3 linked regions of the Macaca mulatta genome follow. The protein of the gene in region 1 interacts with the protein of each later gene in a biochemical or structural test. Links are inferred from orthologs where the notes say so. Each region holds a gene or a part of one and is shown in the gene's direction. Other genes may lie near its edges.

Evidence for each region. The genes of interacting proteins can lie anywhere in the genome.
Region 2: of the proteins of CASP7 (region 1) and PTGES3, one has a biochemical effect on the other in vitro, tested with the Homo sapiens proteins (2 studies listed by BioGRID and IntAct). The link is inferred for Macaca mulatta from reciprocal best matches to the Homo sapiens genes CASP7 and PTGES3.
Region 3: of the proteins of CASP7 (region 1) and PANX1, one has a biochemical effect on the other in vitro, tested with the Homo sapiens proteins (2 studies listed by IntAct). The link is inferred for Macaca mulatta from reciprocal best matches to the Homo sapiens genes CASP7 and PANX1.

What each region holds. Positions count from the first base shown.
Region 1 is NC_133414.1:125,839,828-125,843,471, forward strand, and holds part of CASP7 (caspase-7), read left to right. Parts: intron 1-2,413; coding exon 2,414-2,523; intron 2,524-3,644. UniProt on the Homo sapiens protein: Thiol protease involved in different programmed cell death processes, such as apoptosis, pyroptosis or granzyme-mediated programmed cell death, by proteolytically cleaving target proteins.
Region 2 is NC_133416.1:63,860,521-63,864,658, reverse strand, and holds the start of PTGES3 (prostaglandin E synthase 3), read left to right. Parts: upstream 1-1,286; 5' UTR 1,287-1,535; coding exon 1,536-1,537; intron 1,538-4,138. UniProt on the Homo sapiens protein: Cytosolic prostaglandin synthase that catalyzes the oxidoreduction of prostaglandin endoperoxide H2 (PGH2) to prostaglandin E2 (PGE2).
Region 3 is NC_133419.1:94,944,198-94,948,317, forward strand, and holds the start of PANX1 (pannexin-1), read left to right. Parts: upstream 1-1,550; coding exon 1,551-1,731; coding exon of another isoform or gene 1,732-1,784; intron 1,785-4,120. Other genes in the region: uncharacterized protein LOC114672334, read right to left, coding at 1,035-1,784. UniProt on the Homo sapiens protein: Ion channel involved in a variety of physiological functions such as blood pressure regulation, apoptotic cell clearance and oogenesis.

The sequences.
Region 1 (3,644 bases):
CTCCCAACCAGATACACATTGGTGGTGATGAAGGGAGGCTCACGATGTGTTGAGAAACAAGTTGACCATCTGACTTCTCCTGGTCATTGTAGAGACCTGGCAGTAGGACTTTCCCTTCTTCTTAGCTCCCTCCCTTCTTCCCAGTTCACCCTCAGATAAGCTGGAAGGTGAAACCGTAATGCCATTCAGAGTGCAAGGCCACTAGGTCGTCGCTTCGCCTCCTGGGACACCTCCTTCTGAACTGCATTCCTTCTTCTCTCCACCTCCAAAAGTCATTACTTGTTGTGCTTAGTGGCACAAAATATTCTGTAAAATAGATGCCTTCTTTTTTCCAACTTAATGATAGCATCCCTTGGTGAGCCCTAACTGGAATACAGAACTGCACCTGACAGCCATGGCCTGCTCAGTGAAGTTGCTTAGCGATTGTATCAGAGGCATTTGAACCAGAGCAACTCCATATGGAATAGGGGCTGGGTAACATAAGACTGAGATCTACTGGGCTGCATTCCCAGGAGGTTAAGGCATTCTTAGTCACAGGATGAGGTAGGAGGTTAGCACAAGATAGAGGTCATAAAGACCTTGTTGATAAAACAGGCTTTGCAGTAAAGAAGCCAGCCAAAACCCAGCAAAACTAAGATGGTGACAAGAGTGACCCCTGGTCACCCTCACTGCTCATTATACACTAATTATAATGCATTAGCATGCTAAAAGACACTCCCCCCAGCACCATGACAGTTTACAAATGCCATAGCAACGTCTGGAAGTTACCCTATATGGTCTAAAAAGGGGAACTTTCTCAGTTCCTGGAATTTTGCACCCCTTCCTTGGAAAATTTGTGAACAGTCCACCTACTGTTTAGCATATAATCAAGAAATAACTATGAGTATCCCTAGTCCAGCAGCCCAAGCTGCTGCTCTGCCTATGGAGTAGCCATTCTTTTATTCCTTTACTTTAATTAATTAATAAGCTTGCTTTCACTTTACGCTATCGACTTGCCCTTAATTCTTTCTTGCACGAGGTCCAGACCCTCCCTTGGGGTCTGGATCAGGACCCTTTTCCAGTAACAGTTGGGACCAGGTAGAAATTGGAGTCTGGAGAAGTTTCCCTTTATTCCTGAAAGTTGATCTGTGATCCTTTCATGTGGAAGGAAACAGGACTTGATTTAGAAGAAATGATTCTAATACTGGCCAGGCGTGGTGGCTCACACCTGTAATCCCAGCACTTTGGGAGGCCAGAGTTTGAGACCAGCCTGGCCAACAGCCTGGCCCTATCTCTACTACAAATACAAAAAAAATTAGCCAGACGTGGTGGTGAGCACCTATAATCCCAGCCACTCAGGAGGCTGAGGCAGGATAATCACTTGAACGGGGGAGGCAGAGGCTGTAGTGAGCAGAGATCACGCCATTGCTCTCCAGCCTGGGCAACAAGAGTGAAACTCCATCTCAAAGACAAAAAAAAAAAAAATGATTCTAATACTGGCTCTGCCTTGGGCCAGCCACATCACTTTTAGCTAATTATTTTCCCTTGGGGTGTGTGTTTCATCCAGCCTTCCGTTCAGTTAAATATTTTAGTAAGCACCTTCTGTGTTCCAGCTACCTCTGCCATGATGAACTTATATCGTCTTATGGGAGCCAAACAGCAGAGTGCAAATAGGAAGCCACATACAAAGGCTATGTAGTAAATGAAGACAGAGGGTGGGGGTGGGAAAGGGCCAGGTGGTAAATATTTTTGGCTTTGTGGCCATCACTCAACTCTGTTGTGGAGAGGAAACAGCCATAGGCAGTACATAAATGAATGGACATGGCTGTTTTCCAGTACAACTCTATTTACTGAAACAAGTGTTGGGCCATAGTGTGCTGACTCCCAGACTAGATCAGAAAGGTCCTTAAAATCCGAGGACGTGGCTTTAGATTTGAACTTGTAGTTAATGGGGATCTCTTGAAGATTCTCAAGCTGGAATGTAATTTGATGGAAATCTATTTTGTGTAGAACCATGTAAAAGCATCTGACGGAAAGAGAGCCTAATGCCCCAGGTTGTTGCTGCTTTTGAACTGCGTAGGAGCACTTCGTGACCTGCTAGGAATTTAGGGGGAAATTGTCATGGTTATAAACGTTGACAGACCTTCCACTGTTTCTTGTATGCAGTGAACATAAAACAAAATTGTGGATGCTGGATTAGAAGCTCCCTGAGGGCAAGGACTTTGTTTTCTTTGTTGCCATATGTAGTCTCTGGGATGTAAGCATACTCACATATTTGAATGCATTAATGGGGCAGTAACCCTGAATCTTAAATATGCAAAACTGCTCACCCCTAGGCATAATGGAAAAGCATGTCACCTAATGAGTGTCATTTAAAAATATCACAGTATCAGTGATGCCACTGACCTCATGGCTTGTTTTTTTTTCTTTCCAGATGGCAGATGATCAGGGCTATGTTGAAGAGCAGGGGGTTGGGAATTCAGCAAATGAAGATTCAGTGGATGCTAAGCCAGACCGGTCCTCATTTGTACCATTCCTCTTGAGGTAGGTTTGCTTAATCGGGGACCCTGGACCACATCAGCCTGCCGTGCCTCTGCCATCTCCACCCACCTATGGGGAGGGGGACACTCAGGGAAGGAGGTTCATGCTGAGCATGGGAGGTTTGCACAGGTTCTTGCTAGCCACATACAAAGGCTATGCAGCTGTATGCAGCAACACTAGGGTCCTGCATGCGGCTGTATGCAGCAACACTAGGGTCCTCATGTGCACCCTCTTGTCTGTGGGCCAAGCCCAGGAATGGATAAAACCAAGCATTGGGAGTCTCCTGCTCAGCGGCCGAGTGTCTGGTAGCAGTTCCTAGGAATCAAGGGCTGTTCTCATTAGAGGCGATTTGCAGGCACCTTCAGAACAGAGCTTGGGCTGCTGCTGCCAATGGGACCAAATTTGACAAAAAACACAGAATCCAGGGGCTGAGGGACAGGTTTTAGGGTGACTCACACCTACCCTGTGCCTCCTGCTGCATTCCACTGATGGAAGGGGGATTGCATCCTGTTCATTAGTTCCCGCCTTCCCCTTTCTTGAGTTCACTTTTAAAATCTAAATTTTGTGTTTAATAATATAATAGCTTCATTGATTAAACTCTTGTATGGCTGCTTTGTATTATTGCATTTAGTCTACATAATTGCACATTTAGTTTTATTGTTGTCACCATTTATCAGGTAGGGAAACTGAGGTGCTGTGAGGTTTAATAGCTTGCCTTTTTGCTGACAGTAAATGATAAAGCTGAGAAACTAAACAATGCCAGCACCACTCACTTAAAGGTTCTGCTGTGTGCTTCCCTTTTAAAAGTAGGGCTAGCTTGGCGCAGTGGCTTACACCTGTAATCTCAGCACTGTGGGAGGCCAAGGAGAGAGGATTGCTGGAGCCCAGGAGTTTGAGACTAGACTGGACAACATAGTGAGAGCCCCGTCTCTACAAAAAAAAGATAAGAAAATTAGCTGGGTGTGGTGGCACATGCTGGTAGTCTGGCTATTCGGGAAGCTGAGGCAGGAGAATCACTTGAGCCCAGGAGATCAAGGCTGCACGGGACCATGACTGCACCACTGTACTCCAGCCTGGGCAACAGAGTGAGACTCTGTCTCAAAAAACAAGTTGTTTTTTTTTTT
Region 2 (4,138 bases), on another chromosome or scaffold:
TCACTCTGTCGCCCAGGTTAGAGTGCTCCCTGCAACGTCCACCTCCTGGGTTCGAGCTATCCTCCCGCCTCATACTCCCTAGTATTTGGCATTACAGGCGCGTGCCACCACGCCCTGCTAATTAGTAATTTCAGTAGAGATGGGGTTTCACCATGTTGGGCAGGTGAAACTCCTGACCTCAGGTGATCCGCCCACCTCAAGCTTCCCAAAGTACTGGGATTACAGGCGTGAGCTATGGGCGCCCGGTCCAAAATGGCATTTGAGCTAGGGTCCAGTTTTCGTAGCTCCCACTACCTGTCGTGCACAACATAGACACTAAATACCTTATTGCTTATTATGAAGCCCCGTTCTTCAGAAACGTTTTATAGCACTTTCGTTAAACCTCCTTCCTGTTCATAATGCAGTGCACTAGAGTATTTTTCCCATACTCCACCGTTAAGTGGCCTCTTGGTAAGCAGGACTGTTTTGGGTCTCTTGGTTACTATCCCCTAATACACCCTATTAGTGTGTTGCACGAAGCGACGGGGAACCCGTTCTCCCCCAAATGATGTGCGTGGAGACACCCAATGTCCTAGCCTCTCCATTCCCAGAAACCTAAGACTCTCCCACCAAATATCCTTCCTGTCTCATCTACAGCACTGAGGTCTCAAGGTAGGGGCAAAAGCCCGCCCCAAATGGCAAATGCTCCTCCTCCGCCAAGAACCTCCAATTTCCGCTGTCCCTAGACAGAGCCTCCAACCTTCAGAAAAATGGCGAGGTAGACCCAGGCCCTTGATTCTGAAGTGAGCCCTTTTCCACAGCACAGCCTTTTCACAGGTTTTTGTGGTGGAATGATTCCTCAGTGAACTGATTTACTCCCTCAAGAGTAACCAACGCTCCATTTTAGTTCTATAGGATCCTGACTCCGTGTCCCTCCGCCTCGGCCTTGCCTCCCACTGCCAACGCAGCCGTTTCTCAGAGAAATCGCCCAAGGCGCATGGCCGGGCAGTTGGGACACCAACGGTTTTCTAACGCGAGAGGACAGCGAGGGAGGAGAGGCGGGAACGCGTAGCGACTAGCAGGGGGCGGGGTGGGGGTGGGGTGGCGGACGAAGGGCGGGGCCGACGCCAGGAAGGATCGCGAAGGAGCTGGGAAGCCCCGCCCTTTCCGTAGATATCTCTAGAAAGCCGCGCCGGACCCCGAAAACAAGGACTGCGCACGCGCGGCGGTAAGGCCCGGGCATTTTGCTGCGTCACCAGCCGCCGCCCGGCCTCACCACCCCTCGTTTGCACGCACGCACGTTCATTCTCCGTCCTCGCGCCCGTTTTCCTACACTTTCCTCTTCTCCCCGACCGGAGGAGCCGCTCTTTCCGCGCGGTGCATTCTGGGGACCGAGGTCGAGCCCGCCGCTGCCGCCGTCGCCTGAGGGAAGCGAGAAGAGGCCGCGACCGGGGAGAAAACGCGGAGTCGCCACTGGAGAGAAGTCGACTCCCTAGCAGCAGCCACCGCCAGAGAGGCCCGCCCACCCGTTCGCCCGTCCCCCTGCCCCGTTCACAATGTGAGTGCGACACCCCGCCGAGGGAAGGTCGCCCAGAGTGAGGCCGAGGCCGCGTTGGGGGCTCCCTGGAAGCGGCCCTTGCCCTCCCTCTGCTTTTGGCCCCATAGCCTTTCTCGCATCGGTGGTGGCAGTCGTTCCTGCCTGGGGGCGGGAGGTCCAGGATCCTTGTTCCGGTTACCGTTGGCGGGTGGAGGACATTTTTCCTCCAGATGTCTGCTTCCCCCACCCCTGAAACGTCCCTTGGCTTCCCTATACCGGAAATCCTACTTTTTCCCTCTTTGGCTGTCTGGGCTACTGGCTTCCTTAGGTAACTTCACCTTAGGCCTTAAGCTCCCCGGAGCTGCTCGCCATGCGGCGCCGTGAAGCGTGAACCCTCGTGGGTCGCCTCGGCTGCTTGGGCGCTCCGGTTCTGCTGCTTTGTGGTCCCCGGGCCAGGCCCTGAGTCGAGTGCACCTGTGGTGGGTGCCGCCAGTTGCCTGGCGGAGCTCCTGGGAGAGCCCCACGCGGGCCTAGCCGTGAGCGGCAGGTACTGCTAGGCAACTAGAGTGAAGCCATGCCCACGCCGCAACATACTTCTCTCTCCAGTGTCTGGGTTTCTTGAGTGTGGGTACTTGAAGTCCGCCTCGTAACTCCAGTCTCTTGAAAACACGGGAGGTTGCCAAAACTCAGCCGCTTCCCTGGCAGCGAGGAGGAGTTACCGTTGAGCAGGTAGTTCTGCACGTGTCTGCTTTGGAAAGACACGGACATTTTCTGTGTTCCATGTTAAACCTGAGGTGAGGTTTCACTATCCTGTAACTGTGGGGTGAAATATGTATGTAATAGGCGTGTAATTAACCTACTGTTGTCCTAAAGAGTTTAAATTTGTGTTGAGATTCTATGGTAGTCTTCATTTTATGATGATAAAGGAAACCTCGGCGATTTTAACCGAGTAAGAATTCTTGGCACTGCCACGTACAGTGGGAACTGCCGGTTTTACAGGGTTTTGTTTTAGTTTTTGGTTTTTTTTTGACGGGAGGTTATTTTTTAAGGTACTAACTGCGTCCTAAAAGGTATGGAGAGCAATTAAGGGGGAACCTTTTTTTAAAAAATATTCCATTCAGAAGAGATGAGAGGGAGTGACTTTGTGGAAAAGTAAGAAGGGTTTGCTTGATTCAAAGTCATGATACTGACGGCTAGAAATCTAAAGGAATGAGTGAGGGATACACTGAAGCGAAGTTTATCACTGGAAACAAGCTTCTAGAGCACAGCATGTTAGAATTTTTGAGGGAGCCCCCTCCCCGAGAGTGATACGTAATCGGGGTTTTTAAAAGTTTGAATCAGGCTGGGCGCGGTGGCTCACACCTGTAATCCCAGCACTTTAAGAGGCCGAGGTGGGCGGATCACCTGAGGTCGGGAGTTCGAGACCAGCCTGACCAACATGGAGAAACCCCGTCGCTACAAAAATACAAATATTAGCCGGGCGTGGTGGCACATGCCTGTAATCCCAGCTACTCGGGAGGCTGAGGTAGGAGAATCGTTTGAAACAGGGAGGCAGAGGTTGTGGTGAGCCGAGATCTTGCCATTGCACTCCAGCCTGGACAACAAGAGTAAAACTCCGTCTCAAAAAAAAAAGTATATAAAATAGCTTTTGTTTTTCCCTTTGAAATCTCTCATAAGTAATGTAGAAGGGACATCAGTCTTAACCTTTCATACTCTGAAAATCTGTAAGGGAAAATTTTTGTCAGATAAGGCATTAAGCAGCTTTTAATAATAGAGCCAAACAACATATCTTTTCGTGAAAAATGTTTAAAATGGGCTCGAAGTAGAAGCACTTTCTGGAGGGCACATGAGATATCTAAATAGGTAAGGAACGGCTAAGTTAGGAAAGTAAATTTAAAAACTTGGGTGAAAAGTGTAAGGCCAGGCGCGGTGGCTCACGCCTGTAATCCCAATACTTGGGAGGCTGAGGCAGGTGGATCACGAGGTCAGGAGTTAGAGACCAGCTTGGCCAATATGGTGAAACCCCGTTTCTACTAAAAATACAAAAACTAGCCGGGCGTGGTGGTGCACTCCTGTAGTCCCAGCTATTCGGGAGGCTGAGGCAGGAGAATCGCTTGAACCCAGGAGTCGAAGGTTTTAGTGAGCCGAGATTGCGCCACTGTACTCCAGCCTGGGCAATAGAGGGAGACTCCGTCTCAAAAAAAGTAAGTGTAGCAGTAGAGAGACAATTCCAAAAAGCAGCCTCTCTAGTTAAAAAAAAAAAAATGGTACCTTCATGCCGGGCGCGGGGGCTCACGCCTGTAATCCCAGCACTTTGGGAGGCCAATGCGGGCGGATCACGAGGTCGTGAGATCAAGACCATCCTGGCTAACACGGTGAAACCCCGTCTTTACTAAAAATACAAAAAATTAGTCAGGCGTGGTCGCAGGCGCCTGTGGTCCCAGTTGCTGGAAGCCTGAGGCAGGAGAATGTCGTGAACCCGAGAGGTGGAGCTTGCAGGGGGGATCGCGCCTCTGCACTCCAGCCTGGGCCACACAGTGAGACTGTCTCAAAAAAAAAAAAAAAAAAAGCTACCTTTAAAACGAGTGATGCGGCCGGGCGCGGTGGCTCACGCCTGTAATC
Region 3 (4,120 bases), on another chromosome or scaffold:
CAAACTAAGCCATCTGAGAAAGGTCTTATGATTCATGGCTTAGATCCTGTCTGTCCCTGAGTAAAAAAATCTGTGAGTCTTTGAAATCTTTTTGTCAGTTCCTCGAACTGTTGATGTACTGATTAATATGTAAAAACTGACATTGAAAAGAACACTTGACTTGTTTCTGAATCATAGAAACTTTGATTTTCTTGTGCACAAAACATTTTAGACTGTATGTTGTCACCCGAAGCCCGTGACTGTAACCTGTGTACCGCACCCTCCGATGAAAAAAAACCCAACTCCGACATGAGGGGTCCTCCTCCCTTTTCCTAAACTTTCTTCTAAAACCCTTCCAACGTGTAACACATTTTGAAACATGCCCAACTTTGCTGGTAAGTCTTCTTGGCTGGATCCTCACATTTAGCTTCCGATAAATCGAATTATTTCTACCTCAACAGCCTTAATTTCCGTGGACACTTGTCAGAGTATTTCCTCCTGTCTTTCTATCATCCACTTCCTGTGAGCTGTTCAGAAGCAGCTCTCTGCAGCCTCAACACCCAGCTACCTGCAGGCCGCCCCTCTGCTGGCTCCCAGAACAAGGCTCTGATTGGGATGGCAGAGGAAAGAGAAACGGGACCAGCAGCGCTACTCAGGCCTCAGACGGGTCATACTCCACACTCACCAGCGTTTCCACGCCACCATCTCACGCGGAGCTCCTGGAAGGGTCCAGCGCTCCCTCTGCAAGGGACCGTCTGTCTACACCGCTCGATTGGCCTTTTACGGCACTGACTCTTCTTTGAAGTTTTTACAGCTCCTTCTAACCCATTTCACTGTGTTGGAAATGTTAGGGGTGGGGCGTAAAGGGGGCCATCCCGTCCACAGAAAGAGTTGCTTGCAGAAATGATTTTAAAATTCCCGGGTGCCAGGACGTGAGGAGAATGCGGCCGGGAGGGACGGGAGAATTTTCAAAGGTGCCGCTCAGCGGGAAAATCCCTTTGTCGGAGAGCGGGCCCGAGGGGCGCTGGATGCAGCCGCGCCCACCCCGCCTCGCGTCACCGCGTCTCCGGAAGCTCCACGCCCCTGGGTACTCGGTTTCCCCGGATGGTTCCGGAAGAGCGCGGCGCGGCTGGCAGAGAGCGCAGGGCAGGCCCGGAGGCCTCTTCTGCAGCCGGGGCGACGCGTAGGCGCAGGGCCAGAGGGAAGCGCTTTGTCTCGCGCGTGGTTCCCGCGCCTGCGGGCGCGCGGGAGAGGCGCGAATCCGAGTGCCGCGCGCGCCCCGGGGACTTACACCGGCTGAGCGCGCGAGGTGGGACCGCAGGAACCGGAGCGCCCGGGTCCCCGCCCCGCCCCGCCGGCGGCGGAGGCAGCGAGCGCGAGAGCCCAGCGGGGTCGCTGGGAGCCGGAGGCACCGAGACACAAAGGCAGGCGGGATGCGAGAGCATCTGGGGAGCAGGTAAAGGGAAAGCGAAAGCCGCACGCCCGGCCAGTGACAGGGTGAAGGAGCCGCGCAGCTCTCCCGACGCCGGCAGTACCAAGTCCTGCCTGGCCGAGCCTGGCGCGCCGCAGCCATGGCCATCGCCCACCTGGCCACGGAGTACGTGTTCTCGGATTTCTTGCTGAAGGAGCCCACCGAGCCTAAGTTCAAGGGGCTGCGACTGGAGCTGGCCGTGGACAAGATGGTTACGTGCATTGCCGTGGGGCTGCCGCTGCTGCTCATCTCGCTGGCCTTCGCGCAGGAGATCTCGATTGGTAAGCCTCGCCCAGGACGGAGGGGAGTGGCCGCCCCGGTCTGGCCCGGTGAGCTGCGATTTTACGGCTCACAGGCCCGAGCCTGGGCACGCCCAGCTGTGATGGTAGTGAGCGTCAGGAAGGACAGTGGTCCCGGTTTTATGGTCCAAAGCGTTCTTTGCCCAGGTGTTTGTTTCATTGGTACCCTGGTCTACTCTGCTCGCATCCCTACTCCTCAGTTCTTTTGTTCCTTATGCCCCACTGATCGGATTGTGGCTTACAGTTTATGTTCCACCCTTAGAATGGGCACCTTGCCACCAGATTTGCCAAAAATAGCAGTGTCCCCGTTTTTCACCCCTGTCTCCTACGTACTTGTGCAACCGCTTAAAATTTTGCGCCAGAGAAGTTCCTGAGTGGCTACATGGAGAATGTGAAGACCGGTGCTCCATGAGAAGTGTGTTCTTTCACTATCTTACATATAATTGGTGTTTGCTGAGATCTTAGCTCTCTAGGGTTGTGCATGATGGGAAATATCTGCACTTGGCAGGCATTAGAGGGATCCTCCACTTGGACGGTCTTACGAATGTGAGATGAACAAGTCCCCTTCCTGTAAATTCTCATTTGAGCTTCATAACTGTTGTGTGAGATTGGAAAGTCTGGTGGTTTGGGCAGGATCATGTGGCTATGTGGCTTATCTTCCTCATCAGCTGTTCTGACTTTCCACACAGGAGAGAGTGTTTATGAACCAACAGGAAGGTAGTGCAGGAAGGTTAAATACAGTTCTGTGGCAGGGGGAAGAGAGAGGACCCATTGCGACTGGACTTTGGGAAAACTTTGTCAGAGGGTGGGTGGGATTTGGATAAGCAGGAGTAAGACCTTTGTTAAGGTTTTGAGATGGCAGAGAATGTTATATGTTCCTGGAAAGAGAGACACAGTGACCGTCCTAGCCAAAGCAGGAGGATAAGTCAGAGTTCCTGGAGTCCGAGAGTGAATATGGGCCTGGGTCAGCCTGGAACAGAAGAGTGTAGGCTGATGGTTTCAGAACTGTGAAGTTATTGTTTGAGCAGAGGACAGACTGGTTGAAAACAGCACTAAGTAAATACTAGCCTGATGGTGGCATTTAGGGTCTGGGAAGAAGGTGAGAGGATGGGGCCTGGAGGGCTGAGTGCCAGAGAGCAAGGCATCAGTTGAAGTCTTGTGCACAGCAGGTGTGAAGAGTGGAAGAAAACGGGTGGGTGATTGCTGTGAGATCAAGGAGTATATAAGCAGCACTTGAGTACCTAGTTTTTCATAGGCCATGAAGGGCAGTACTGGTTGAACGCGCTGTGGAGGTTGTATGTCTGGCTGATTGGAGTGTGGTGTTGGTGGGAATTGTGAAGTTGAGGGAAGAGTTGATTAGGAAAGAGTGATGGTGAGTGTGATTTTGCAGTCTGCAGCATTAAGTTGTTCAGTTTCGCAGGAAGTTGCCAAATTCATGGTGGAAAATAAGTTTTTCGTTTTCCTGCATTTGCATAGACATAGTCATCGGGATTTTCTTTAACTTTCCATTTGACAGTGAATTGAGGCTTCCAGCTGAAAGGAAACCACCAAGTAGCATGAGTCATGGAGATAATCTCTCCCTTCAGTCAATTCCTCCTTCAGTACTGGCTGTGTGCTGAACTCCGCGCTGACCTCCAAGCACCGGGGAGTAAAAGAGGCATGGTCCCTGTCTTGGAGGTGCACGTCTTGGGTACCTGGTTGGGACAGAAAGGCAGGAGGGAGGAGTTAGTCACCCTCTATGACTAATCTCCACCTCTAGCGCGTGTACTAGAGGGACTCTAAGGCACCTGCACCTGTAATGCCTTAGATACATCTAAATTGGTGGGCTGAGAGGTATTTTGGGGGTATTGGGAGTGGTTTTACCTAGCAAGAGTCTGAGGTCGTGCTGTGTGCATAGCACTGTGTGCTGAGGGAGGTGGGAAAGGATTTTGAGACCTTGTTCTTGCCCTGCCTTCTCCCTGCCCTGTGACAATTTACTATGCAGTTGGGCACTAGAACATATCTATTAGCAGGTAACACCATTCAGCTGTATGTAAGTCAGCACCCAGACAGGTGTTGAGCTATGAGCTCCAGGCTGGTGAAGGTTGGCAGGCACTTGGGTGAGGAGCTATTGAGCAGACGCCCATGTTTTCTGAAGTGTTTTCAGGAGTTCCAGGGGAGGACAGACATGTAGGATGAAGCTAACAGGACCAGGGAAGACCTATTAGATCAGGTATACATTTAGATAAAACCAGAAGAAGGGCTTTTGAGAAGAGGGGAGAGGTACATAGACTAATACATGGAGTTGGTACAGTGAGAGGGATCATGTTATGCAGCATTTAATTTTGTGTAGTTAGTAGTATGCACTCAGCCGAAAGAGATGAGAACAACA